Linked DNA regions of Sus scrofa. The protein of the gene in region 3 binds, or shares a complex with, the protein of the main gene of each other region. Links are inferred from orthologs where the notes say so. Each region holds a gene or a part of one and is shown on either strand. Other genes may lie near its edges.

Evidence for each region.
Region 1: the proteins of GRK1 (region 3) and RHO are in contact, whole or in part, in a cryo-EM structure (PDB 7MT8), measured with the Bos taurus proteins. The link is inferred for Sus scrofa from reciprocal best matches to the Homo sapiens genes GRK1 and RHO. Residues at the interface, in NP_776598.1 of Bos taurus: Leu6, Glu7, Thr8, Val9, Val10, Ser13, Ala14, Ile16, Ala17, Ala18, Arg19, Gly20, Asp23, Ala24, Glu184, Asp185, Trp186, Phe187, Leu188, Asp189, Phe190, Val192, Arg195, Glu200, Gln205, Met206, Lys207, Lys221, Arg222, Thr256; in NP_001014890.1 of Bos taurus: Lys66, Lys67, Arg69, Thr70, Arg135, Val137, Val138, Val139, Lys141, Ser144, Asn145, Phe146, Arg147, Phe148, Glu150, His152, Leu226, Thr229, Val230, Ala233, Gln236, Gln237, Glu239, Thr243, Ala246, Val250, Met257, Ile305, Tyr306, Met309.
Region 2: the proteins of GRK1 (region 3) and RCVRN are in contact, whole or in part, in an NMR structure (PDB 2I94), measured with the Bos taurus proteins. The link is inferred for Sus scrofa from reciprocal best matches to the Homo sapiens genes GRK1 and RCVRN. Residues at the interface, in NP_776598.1 of Bos taurus: Phe3, Gly4, Leu6, Glu7, Val9, Val10, Ala11, Asn12, Ser13, Ala14, Phe15, Ile16; in NP_776590.1 of Bos taurus: Lys22, Trp31, Ser34, Phe35, Glu38, Cys39, Phe49, Ile52, Tyr53, Lys55, Phe56, Phe57, Tyr86, Leu90, Thr93, Ser94, Phe188, Glu189.

Annotation. Positions count from the first base shown.
Region 1 is NC_010455.5:68,907,164-68,911,446, reverse strand, and holds the start of RHO (rhodopsin), read right to left. Parts: upstream 2,870-4,283; coding exon 2,509-2,869; intron 769-2,508; coding exon 600-768; intron 1-599. UniProt on the Homo sapiens protein: Photoreceptor required for image-forming vision at low light intensity. Required for photoreceptor cell viability after birth.
Region 2 is NC_010454.4:54,742,240-54,745,909, reverse strand, and holds part of RCVRN (recoverin), read left to right. Parts: exon of another isoform or gene 1-918; coding exon 919-1,030; exon of another isoform or gene 1,031-2,121; intron 2,122-2,976; exon of another isoform or gene 2,977-3,139; intron 3,140-3,670. UniProt on the Homo sapiens protein: Acts as a calcium sensor and regulates phototransduction of cone and rod photoreceptor cells. Modulates light sensitivity of cone photoreceptor in dark and dim conditions.
Region 3 is NC_010453.5:78,792,101-78,796,524, forward strand, and holds the start of GRK1 (rhodopsin kinase), read left to right. Parts: upstream 1-1,569; 5' UTR 1,570-1,676; coding exon 1,677-2,375; intron 2,376-3,565; coding exon 3,566-3,693; intron 3,694-4,424. UniProt on the Homo sapiens protein: Retina-specific kinase involved in the signal turnoff via phosphorylation of rhodopsin (RHO), the G protein- coupled receptor that initiates the phototransduction cascade.

The DNA.
Region 1 (4,283 bases), on a different chromosome or scaffold from region 3:
CGTAACTGGGTGAGACTGGAGGAGCCAGGGAAGGGGGCCGGAGTTCATGGGCTCAAATTCAGCAAGGGACAAAACATTAGCCCCGAAAAGACCAAGAGGAAGAACAGGGAGCGAGATGGGAGTTTCCTGGAAGCAGTGGAAAATCCACAGTGTCACTAGCCCACCTTCCCAAACCACTGTCTGCCCAACCCCCCTCTTAATCTCAGTCCCATTTAGAGCTGATGGCCTAGAAGCTGGACGGGACCAGTTCCCAGGGGCTATAGTGTCATACGTGCCCAAGGAATGTTCGCCCTTCCCAGGTGCTGAGACCTAAGGTCAGAAGGCACTAGACCAAAGAGGATTGGAACCTGGCCTGGCTTAGTTGAGGATTAGGGGCACAGCCAAGGTGAACAGTTGGGGCGTCTTGGAATCTCCTTGACATGGGGACTCAGAAGGTGGCACCAGCCCCATAGCAACATTAGGGGCTAACCCTCTCTTCCTCACCCTAAACCTCAACCCCATGACAGTTGCCAGCTCGGGGCCTAGAACCAGATGCCGCCTGGCTGGAGGGCCCTTTGAAGAGCACCAGGGACCCTGCCTTCCTTTCTCAGTACCATTACCTGGACCAGCCGACGAGAGGGGGCGCAGCGCAGGCCAGAGCCATGACCCAGGTGAGGGCCAGGCCCATGATGGCGTGGTTCTCCCCGAAGCGGAAGTTGCTCATAGGCTTACACACCACCACGTACCGTTCAATGGCCAGGACCACCAAGGACCACAGGGCGATTTCACCTGTAAGGCAGTCAGCTGTTGGTCAGCTCACCCCAGGCCTGGAGCTGCTTAAGGACAGAGAGCTCCTATTCCATGGAGAGAGGATGGTAAGAAAGGCAAGGTCCTTGAGTGGAGGGGCCCAGGGGTCCAGAGTAAGTCCTAGGAAGTTAATTTAGAGCTCTGGGTTCATGAGGGACACAAAAATCAGGTCACAGGGTCATGGCTGGACTGGGAGCTCTAAAGGGAGTTTTTATAGAGCAATGTGCCCTGCACATCTGAAGGGCACAGCAGAGGCATTGTTTCATGGAAGCTGGGGTTGGAAGGCCTCCCTTCCAGGGAAATGAAACAACCTGGGCATGTGGGACCCCTGCCTAGGAGCCAGGAAGCTGGATACAATTTTGCTCAGAGAAGAAGTAAGAAATGATGGAATTCAGGCACCTTCCTTGAACAACACCCCCCACCCCGCCCCCAACCCCAGAAACTCAAGAGAGAAGGTGGCCATAGCATTGGCCAACCACAATGGGACATTTCTGAGAGTCAGAGGGAACACCAGTGAGAATTCCAGGGCAGCAGTTTGGCAGAGGCGTGCCTGCCTATATGTGCCACTCTTCTGGCCTGAGATTGGGTGATGTGTGTCACTGAAGGTGACAAACACCCAGTGATGGCTACAATCCCTGGGAATGGGGATGAGGCAACATCCTGGATATATGCGGGAGGCAGAGCATCCCTGTGGCTGGCACTAGGCTCTCCCATCATCCTGGTCGTTTTGTAGTAACGACCTCCCGAGTCTCCTGCTTGCCTAACAGGCTTTGTGTCCCCAGTGGGACATTCCTGGAGCTAAGCCAGTAGACCAGGGCTCTGGTCACTGCCCTGCCACATCATCAGCTGAGTCTTCCTCTCTCCACACCCCAGTTTTCTCACCTACTTAATGGGTCTGAGGCACTCAGTTTTTCCATTAAAGAAAATACTTTAAAAGTACTGCCCAAAAGTTCCCATTGTGGCTCAGTAGTAATGAACTCAACTAGTATCCATAAGGATGCCAGTTCAATCCCTGGCTCCCTCAGTGGGTTAAGGATCTGGCATTGCCATGAGCTGCAGTGTAGGTTGCCAACATAGCTCGAATCTGGCATTGCTCTGGCTGTGGTGTAAGCCCACAGCCATTTTTACCCCTAGCCTGGGAACTTCCACATGCCTCTGGTGTGGACCTAAAAAGACAAATAAATAAAGTACCACCCGAAGCTACAGATAACCACACGGGTCTAAAGTCTCCCTACGGATGGCTCCGCATTCAACCATGACAGGCTGGAGGTGGGCTGTGACCAAGTCTGATAGATGCTGGGGTAGGGTCTGAGCCCATCGCCCAGTGCAGGCAAAGTCTAGACTGGAGGACTGGGAAGCCTCGTCCTGCCCAGGAGGGGAGTCCCATGCAGGGGTCTCTCCTGCCCAGCTCTATCCTTGTGCCTGGCATGGGTCTGACCCCACACAGCTCCTCCGGGGAGAAAGGGAACATGGCCTGAGGGGCTACAGAGACTTGAAACTCAGCTTTGCTGTTGCCACGATGTGACCCTAGCAAGGCCCTTGACTTGTCCCACCCTCAACAAATGGCAGCCTGGCTCAGATCACTGAAGTGTTTGTTGATTGAGGGCTTTGGATAATGGCCTGTCAGCCACTACCCCTAAGGCTGGGGCTGTGCCCAGATTCCTGTCATGCTCCTGGCTCCTTTTCCCCCTGCCCCCCCCCCCATGGCATCCCAGCTCATACCGCCCAGGGTGGCAAAGAATCCCTCCAAGTTGCATCCTGTGGGTCCGAAGACAAAGTATCCATGCAGAGAGGTGTAGAGGGTGGTGGTGAAGCCTCCGAAGACCATGAAGAGGTCAGCCACTGCCAGGTTGAGAAGGATGTAGTTGAGGGGTGTGCGCAGCTTCTTGTGCTGGACCGTGACGTAGAGCGTGAGGAAGTTGATGGGGAAGCCAAGCACAATCAGCATGAACATGTAGGCAGCCAGCATGGAGAACTGCCATGGCTCAGCCAGGTAGTACTGCGGATACTCAAAGGGGCTGCGCACCACGCCCGTCTTGTTGGAGAAAGGCACGTAGAAGTTTGGGCCCTCCGTCCCATTCATGGCTGCGGCCCCTTGTGGCTGCCTTGCAGCTGCTCCAACCCAAGGATGCTGCTGAGGCCTGAGCTCGGCCACGCAGGGCTCCGGCTAGACGACTCTGGGCTCTGACCGCCCCCCCCAGGCCATTATAAAGTGACCTCCCCTCCCTAAGCTCTGGGCTGAATCAGCACCTGGGAGATTGGGGGCGTTATTAATCATATTAATCCCCACGGCTGCAACTGGGGCCTAATTGGCTTCCAAGAGGGGCCAAGGTGACTTGAGGTGGAAGGCTGTGGGCAGGGAGAGGAGATGCTTGGGACCCTGGGAAAGGGCCGGAAGCCTGGCCCAACTCTCCTCTCCCTGAGGAATCTCTGCTGTCTCAGCCAGTGGCCTTGGCCTGGCATTGGGACCTCTGACTCCATGGCCACTTCCTTTTGGCTTAGTGCAAGCAAGCCTTATCTTCCTCCCAACTGCACCACGAGCTTTCAGAGGGCAGAGGCTCGGGTTATTCTGCTCTCAGCCCCTCACCTACTCCTTCCTGGCTCAGCCAGTCACCAGACACTGACCCTCACCCATCTGCCAGGTTATGAGCTTCGAAAGGGCAGGGGCCAGGTCCTGCCAGCTTTGACCTTCCCAATGCCAGACACATAGCTCGGCATCTCCCGGTAGCTCAATAAGCATTTATTGCATTGAACTGAAATTCCCTTGCTCACTCATTCAACAAACATCTATGTGTAGGCCACTGGGGACATGAAGCCTGAGGAAGGAGGAGGACTCCCATGGCAAGAACAGCCCCCATCCAGGGGTGGCGGTGGTCTACATGCAGGAAGTATCCAGGAAGGCAACATTTTGGGAAGGAGGCCCTCTGCCAGGTCACCAAGTAGGGATGGATAGCATTGACTAAAGACAAAGGCTGGCAGAGGCCTAGGGCCCAGCTGGCCTGGGGCCACACATGGGCTGGGGCCATTCTGGTAGAGCTTAGTGCCAGGGGCATTATCAGGCATGGTGGGCAGGTCTCAGGGACAGAGAGGTGGCTCAACAGTCCCCAAAGATGGACTGAAGGAGTGAAGATGGAAGAAGGGATGAAGGAGGGGGAAGTGACAGAAGTAGGGAGGAGTCAGAGGGTCTCAGGGCTCCCGAGACAAGACCCTGCATCCAGGAGGATGGTGGTAAGCCCGTGCTGGGCACAGGTCTCTGCAATGAGCACAGCAAGTGTGGTCTCGGACACTCCTGTGTGAAGGGCAGGTGGGCCCTGGAAATAGGACTAGCTGACACTGTAGCACCCAGGGCACAGCCTGAGACGTCAGGTCAGGCTGGACTGGGACAGGGGCCTTGGATGCCATGTGATGTGAAATGCCATGAGGGCGGATCCCAGGACAGCAGGATGAGTTCCAGGGGTAAATGGAGGGGCTCAGTTCTGGGGGACACAGTGGGCAAG
Region 2 (3,670 bases), on a different chromosome or scaffold from region 3:
CTTCCCCAACCTCTAGAATGCTCTCTAAGGCCTTCCACATGATGCAAGTACAGAGGTTCTAGAACCAAACTTGCCCAGGTTAGAATCTCCACTCTTCTGCTTCTAGCTGGGTGACTTCCAGCAGGTTGGTTGACTCAGTTTCTTCATCTGTGAAATGGGGCCGATAACACCTCATGAAGGAGTTCATATGTAAGGATGCTTAAGAAAGAGGCACGCTTAACAAAGGTTAGCCCTAATCATCCTTATTACCCTCATAGACCTTATTACCCTAAGTCAACCTGGCTGGGCAACCAAGTCCGACCTGGACTGGGAAGGAGCCATTTGATGTGCTACAATTTCTAGGCTGTGGGGTTTGAGGTAGCAGTTCCCTGGGGCAGCTCTTTATGTCGTATTTTTCTGCTTTAATAAAATGAAAGTAATAGGTCTCTGTGGTGAGGAAGTTCAAACAGTGACAAAATAACTGAAAGCCTTCTTCACCCCACCCCCACATTTCCCACCCCTTCTGGGCAGCTCAAAAGTACAGATGCCCTGGGAGTTCCCGTTGTGGCTCGGCAGTAACGAATCTGACTAGGATCCATGAGGATGCGGGTTCAATCCCTGGACCTGCTCCGTGGGTTAAGGATCTAGCGTTGCCTCGAGCTGTGGTGCAGGTCGTGGACGTGGCTGGGATCCTGCGTCGCTATGGCTGTGGCACAGGCCGGCAGCTACAGCTCCCATTGGACCCATAGCCTGGGAACCTCCATGTGCCGTGGGTGCGGCCCTAAAAAGACAAAGTGCAGATGCCCACTGCCCACTCCCAGGAACGAGGGCTCAGCAGGGCAGCTGGGGCCTGGGCGTCTGCACTTCAACCTCTGCCATAGGGGGTCCCTGTCAGCGCCGTGGGACTGCTGACCAGTTCTTCCTCTTGATCCGGTGCAGGCTATTTTCAAAATGATCAGTCCTGAGGACATGAAGCAGCTCCCCGACGACGAAAACACCCCGGAGAAGCGAGCCGAGAAGATCTGGGGGTTCTTTGGGAAGAAGGACGATGGTGAGTTACGTCTCCTTCCTCGCCTTGGATTTTACAGTCACTGGCCGCGTCCTAGAGGCTCCAAGATTTATCCTTCCAAGTTCAAAGTCCAGGCAGGACAGGGGACACCTCCCACTGCAGGGCTGTCTAGGCCGTCGGGGAGTGGGGGCGGTGCACGCAACGGTCAGCGGGCAGGTGTGTGGCCCTCCTCCAGCTAATGGGAAACGGCCCCATATCCCACAGTTGATAAAACTCCATCGCTGGAGCCCCCTGGTGTCCTAGCGGTTAAGTCGCCACTGCTGTGGCTCAGGTTCCATGCCACAGACCTGGCCAAAAAGCCAAAACAAAAACTCCATCTCTGCCAATCTCGGGGAGAAGGGAGGCTCTAAATGAGGGTGTGCCTTTGAAGAAGGAACCTCTTTTGTTAGGAGAGTTAACCCACATCGTGGGAATAGTAAAAAAGTCAAGGCAGCCGCTCCTTAGCGGTGTGCATGAAAATGCTAAGTTTAGCGGTTTCGCAAGCAAACCATTTTCTTTTTAAATGAGTGCACATTAAAAAAAAACACTTTGGTTTACTGGTTTATCAAAATGCCTTGTGCACAGTTGGGATAGGACAAAGCTCAGGTCAGTCAGCAGCTGAATTAGCATCACGTTCCACTAAATGGGATCTAAATTTACAGGGTTTTTCTTTAGGAAATTAGTTTGGGCCCCTCAAGAAGCACCGCCAGGTGGGATTAGATTGAAATTAGATTGCGAGAGATTGATGGGGTGGGGCTCTGACGGAAGACGGGGGCCGGGGGGTGGGGATCTGGAGGCGGCTGGCATGAAGGCGGGTTGGAGAAGAGAAGTCTTAGACTCTAGTGCTGGGCTCAGAGAGTCTGGCAAAGCTGAGGGGGGTGTCCTCGAGCCCCTTCTTCCAGGAACGGGCCTGACGTGACTTCCTGGCCTTTTATTCTGGCCCAGAGTCGCCCGGTTGGCGACTCAAAGAGGTGACTGATTCCAGGACTGGGCCTCAGAGGCTGCAGGTGCATGATGCCCATGTCCAACTCCAGAAGGACACAGGAAAGGAGGGGGCGTCAGACAGGGGCTTTGAACTTCAATGGCCAAGGTGCCTGGATGATGAACGTGGGAGAAATGGACAGCGAGCCTGTTCAGTGATAGGGCCTGGGAGACAGTGGGGCCTGGGGTCTGGACCACGTGGGAATACAGAGCCGCTGGTCCCTCATAATCTGATTTGGTAGAAGAGAAGGCAGCAATTGAGGGTTTTTGTTTTTGGGTCTTTTTAGCCTGCACTTGCAGCATGTGGAGGTTCCCAGGCTAGGGATTTAATCAGAGCTGTAGCCTCCAGCCTACACCACAGCCACAGCAACGCAGGATCCAAGCCGCATCTGCAGCTTACACCACAGCTCATGGCAATGCCAGATCCTTAACCCACTGAGCGAGGCCAGGGATCAAACCCGAAGCCTCGTGGATGCTAGTCGGGTTTGTTAACCACTGAGCCACCCTGGGAACTCCAGCAACTGAGCTTTTTGAAAACCAAGTGCCTCAAGTAATGAAACACTGCATGGCCCCAACATACCTGAGGAGCCAGTACTGGCCCCTGTGTGATCTCGGGGGCAGTCTCTTACCAGGGTTCGAGGCACAGGCCTGAGCAGGATGTTCAACGAGAGCCCTACAGCTCTACAGTCCGGGAAGAGGGTGGAGAGGGGCCAGAACTAGGGTGCAGCAAGGGAGGGGCCCAGCACAAAATTTAAGGAGGCATGCCTTCGCAGGCGCCAGCCCTGTGCTCACCTGCCCGAGAGTGAGAGCCTCCTTAAAATCTGCAGGGCGGCGCCTCCCTTGCTTCACTCAGATGGCCCCTCCCCTGTGAGCACAGTCTCCTGGCTGCTTAAGGCGTGTGTCCCACTGGCACCTCACCTCAGGGGCTCTTTAACCCACCTCTTGACAACCCTCTGTGTCTGCCACAGGCTGAGTCCCTTGTTCTGCTACCTGCAAACCTGCAAACTGACCCAGGTGGACACTGTAGGAGGCGGTGCTAGAGGAGGCAGGCCTGGCACGCCTGCCAGGCGACCTGTGTTTTCACATGGCCCATCTGCAGACAACGCCTCACTCCGGAGTCAGGTTCTGCGGGTAGGAGTTTCAAGCTGGGACTTTAAAACCCAAATTTCAGGAGTTCCTGTTGTGGCTCAGTGGAAACGAACCCGACTAGCATCCCTGAGGATGTGGGTTTGATTCCTGGCCCCACTCAGTGGGTTAAGGATCCGGCATTGCCATGAGCTGTGCAGCTCATATCTGGCGCTGCTGTGGCTGTGGGGTAGGTCGGCAGCTGCACCTCCGATTCAACCCCGAGCCTGGGAACTTCCATATGCCGCAGCTGTGGCCCTAAAAAAATAAAACCCCAATTTCACCACCCTGACCTGCACAGGGAACCAGCCTGAATCCTAATCTGGCAAAAGGATTAAGGCTGCCTAACAGGCCTGGATCACAGGCCCACGGAAACCCAATTCAGTTCATCCAAGCTTTGCTGAGGATCCACTATGTGTAGGACTATGAACATAGACCTAAGCAGCAAAGGACACCTGCTTCCTTCTAGAGTCACTTCTACAGCTGAGTCCCCATCAGACCAGCAGTTTCCAGGGCCACACCCTGCGTCTGACCCCT
Region 3 (4,424 bases):
CTTCGCCAGCGGCTGGGTCAGCATTCACCTGATGGAGGCCGTCCTCCTCAGGCCCCGCCTCTGCTGCCTGGCCCGCCAGCCTCGCCCAGGCCACCTAAGCCCATCTTGACTTGGCAGGATCTCCAGGTGACTCCAGCCTGGGACCACAGGGAGCGCTGGCTCAGAACATGCTGAGAAACGCCTTAGAAGGTGCTCCAGCCCGCAGCACACGGGGCCACTGTCCCATCTGAGCCCTGACGAGTTAAAGAAAAGGCAGGAAGGGGCTGAGGTGTCAGCCCACGGTGACCCGGACTCACCGAGTCACCTGCTCAGTGGCAAGGTCTCATTCCCACCTCCCCAGCGGCTGCAGAGGGTCCCCGTCTCCCACACCCACTGGCAGAATCTCCCTGCCCTCTGGACCCTCTTCTCCCACCCGGAGGTGATGGGCTGGCCGGTCGGCTGGCTTTGTCTGCTTGGGGCGTTCTTCACTCCCTTCCCTTCCTCCCTCTTTACGCTGTAGCCACACTGTCACTTCCTTGTCATTCTTTTCCATACCTGTGCTTTTCCATGCATGTCATGCTTTTCCATACCTACTGGGTACTAGAACAAGACGGACAAGGCCATGCCCAGGTGTGCCCCAGGTGTACCTCAGGTGTGTCCCAGTTGTGCCTCAGGTGTGTCCCGGGTAGGTCCCAGGTGAGTGTCAGCTTGTCCCAGGTGAGTCCCAGGTGCATCCCAGGTGTGCCCCACATGTCCCTCAGGTGTGCCCCAGGTGTGTCCCAGGTAGGCCCCAAGTGAGTCCCAGGTTTGCCCCAGCTGTGCCCCCGGGTGTGTTCCAGGTATGTCCGAGGTGGGTCCCAGATGAGTCCCAGGTGTGTCCCTGGCCTCTTCATTCCCCTCTCACCCCAGCCTCCCTCTGCGTGGGACCTCAGCCTGGGTGCAGCCCAGGGTCTCCTGCTTCCCTGTCTTTTTCACCCAAACGCTTCTCTGGGCACTTCTGCTTCTGCCGCAAGGGGTGGCAAGAGGGGAGGGGGCTGCCGTGAGGCTGATCCTGCAGCAGGTGCTGGGGTTACCTTAGGTTGTCAGCGCCATCACTGTGACATAGTTGCTCTCAGGGTCAGGTCGGGACAAATGCAGGTCCTCACATCCTGACCAGTCCCCTGGCCAGTGGTCTCACCTGTAGACACCCCCGGAAGCCTATTCCTAAATGGTTTTTCTCTCACTTGCTCTTTTTCTAAAGGCAAAAGTGAGGCATAGTGGGGAAAACCACCAGCCGTCTTCATAAACTGAGGTTTCTCCTGGGACCCCTCCCTTGAGCTGGGGCTCCTGTCCCTGCGAGGAAATGGATGGATGGTCCAGCCCCTCTGCTTGGGCCTCAGGGCGGACAGGCTGCTCCGGGCTTCCATGTGTTGTGTCTGGGTCTGGGGTGTGTCCTTCCCCACGGGCAGGGCGGCCTGTCTAATCCCTCTGCGAGCGGCTTAGGGATTGTCTTTTTCTGGCACCTGCTTGCCGCTGTGCCTGCGCGTCCTCCACTGCCAGCTGGATTTAGCCTGAGCTGCGTCAGTGGGCTCCCCCGGGCTCTGGGCCTGCCCCGGCCCTCCTGTCCCGAGAGGGCAGGAACGGGCCAGAGGCCAAGGGCAGCCGGTCGGGCCGGCTCGGGGCGCGGGAGCCGGACGGGGAGGGAGGCCTGCGCTAGGATGGATTTCGGGTCGCTGGAGACGGTGGTGGCCAACTCTGCCTTCATCGCTGCCCGGGGCAGCTTCGACGGGAGTAGTGCCCTGTCCTCCCGGGACAGGAAGTACCTGGCCAAGCTCAGGCTGCCCCCGCTGTCCCAGTGCGAGGCCCTTCGGGACAGCCTGGACCTGGGCTTCGAGAGCGTGTGCTCTGAGCAGCCCATCGGCAAGCGGCTCTTCCAGCAGTTCCTGAGGGCCGATGGGCGGCACGTGCCGGCCCTGGAGCTCTGGAGGGACATTGAGGACTACGACACGGCCGATGACGACCTCCGACCACAGAAGGCCCAGGCCATCCGGGCCGACCACCTGGACCCCAGGGGCAAGCTCTTCTGCGGCTTCCTGGACGAGGGGACGGTGGCGCGGGCCAGGGAGGGGCCCTCGGGGCGTGAGGAGGGGCTCTTCCAGCCCCTCCTGCAGGCCACGCTGGCGCATCTGAGCCAGGCGCCCTTCCGGGAGTACCTGGACAGCCTGTACTTCCTGCGCTTCCTGCAGTGGAAGTGGCTGGAGGCCCAGCCTGTGGGTGAGGACTGGTTCCTGGACTTCAGGGTCCTGGGCAGAGGCGGCTTTGGGGAGGTGTCCGCCTGCCAGATGAAGGCCACTGGCAAGATGTATGCGTGCAAAAAGCTGAACAAGAAGCGGCTGAAGAAGAGGAAGGGGTACCAGGTGTGCTGCTGCAGCGTTCTGGGCACGGGCGGGGTCCGGGGCGCCCTGGGCTGGCTGACCCTGGGTGGGGCTCGGTTCCCTGGGCCCCATCATCGCGGGTCTGTACTGCGGCTGAGCACCTGGGCCGGAGCAGTGGGCACAGGCCATGCTTGGCTGCCCAGCCTGCAACTCAGCCGTCCAGCTGCCCTTAAGCACCAGCCTCGGCGGGGAAGGGACAGGCGGTGTGCGGCCTTCCTCCCTGCAGAGCGGCCTCCGCGTTGCTGGTGTGGCTGACGTGCCACGTCTCTTCGTCCTTCTCGGTTCGTCACCAGCATCACGAAAGCCACTGTCCGGAGGCTGTGGGGCTGGTTCTCTAGCTTCTTCACTCTGACTTTCTGGAACGTCCCCTGGCTTGTGCCAGGAAGAGCTGGGGCTGGTGCAGGAGCCTCCACGGGGCCGGGCGGGCGGCACTGTGCTTCCAGGCCCCGAGGGGGTGAGGCGGCTGCTCTGCTTCGTGCCCTCCACCGCGTCAGGCTCCATCCCCGCGGGGTCAGCCAGAGCTGCTTAATGTCCTGCACGGGCCTGGGTCCCGTTCCCGCGGCCGTTCAGAGCGGCCTGTGCTGGGGGCAGGTGGCGCCCCCGAGCACCCCAGGGCCCCTGCGTGGAGCATTTGCCCTCGCGGCCCCTCCCTGGCACTAAGCCTCCTCTGCCTGCCACGGGAGCCTCACTGAGATTTTACAGAGTGAGATGCACCGAGGGTCTCCCCACTCAGCGACGGGAAGGCCTCGGCAGCTCCCAGGTCCTGCAGAAGGACCCTCCCTGCAGCACACACTAAACACGTTAAACAGGCTTCCCGGGGTTTAAAGTGAATGCGGAGGGTGACCCGGTGTGAGGTGGCAGGGAGGGTGCTGGTCGTGGACCCTGGCTGGCCTCCGCCGTCCAGAGCCTGGGCGGGAGGAAGGGCTGGGACGTGGGTGGAAGAGCCGGCGGGACCCTCATGGCGTTTGCAGGCTGGGCGGCCGAGCCCCGGCTGCAGGGTCGGGACGCCCGAGTCCTCAGCCCGAGACGCCCCACTTGCCTGTGGAACCAGGCGTGGGGGGCATGTGTCTAAGTTACTAGCGTCTGCAACCCCCTTGGCATGGATTTCACTGTGACTCTTTCCGGTTTGTGCAAGTTCCCCGCCTAACTCTGGGCGCGTCCCCGCTTCCCAGGGTGCCATGGTGGAGAAGAAGGTTCTGGCGAAGGTGCACAGCAGGTTCGTCGTGTCTCTGGCCTACGCCTTCGAAACGAAGACCGACCTCTGTCTGGTGATGACCATCATGAATGGAGGGGACCTAAGGTGAAAGAGAGGCTTCCCTCCACACGGCGCCGGGCCTCGGCGCCGCTCTGCCAGCCCCCACTGACCGCCCTGCCCGCTGGGCTGCGCCGTCCGCCACCTGCGCCCTGCTCCAGGCAGTGTCACCCTGGTTAGCCGGCAGCACGGCTTGCTGTGCCATACACGCTACACTGAGTAGATGCCTGTGACACTGCCTGCGCCCATGTGACCCCACACCCCACCACAGGGCACCAGCTGCGCTCACCCAAAACGCCGCGTGACCCCGGGTGCCGCCGTCGGCTCGGGCGAGCAAGGCCGCCCCTCTCCTCTTTGGACTCCTGCTTCGCCTCCGCGCCGGCCAGTGGTGGTCTCGTTTAAAGACCTGATTTGTCAGGCTTGGCTGCTCTGTAAAGGGAAGGAGGCCCAAGGCCGGCCCGGGAGCCGCACGTCTGGCGGAAGCTGCCGGGCTAACGCTCCCACTTGGCGCCCCGGGCAGACCCCTCAGCCCGCCTTGGTCCCCCTCTACCCTGGCTCCTTTGGCCGGGGGCTCTGAAGTGATGGGAGGGGGTCGGGTAGGGGTGGGGGGATGGGGGGCTCAGCCATGTGCTCCTCAGGCTGGACCCCGAGGCCAGAAGGACACACAATGAGGGAATCGGAGGCCTCGCTGTTGCCCTGAGATTTTACTTTCCATCAAACCTGTGGGCCCACGGCCCGCGGTTGTGCCAGAGAAGCACAGGCTCCACGTGGTCTGCCCA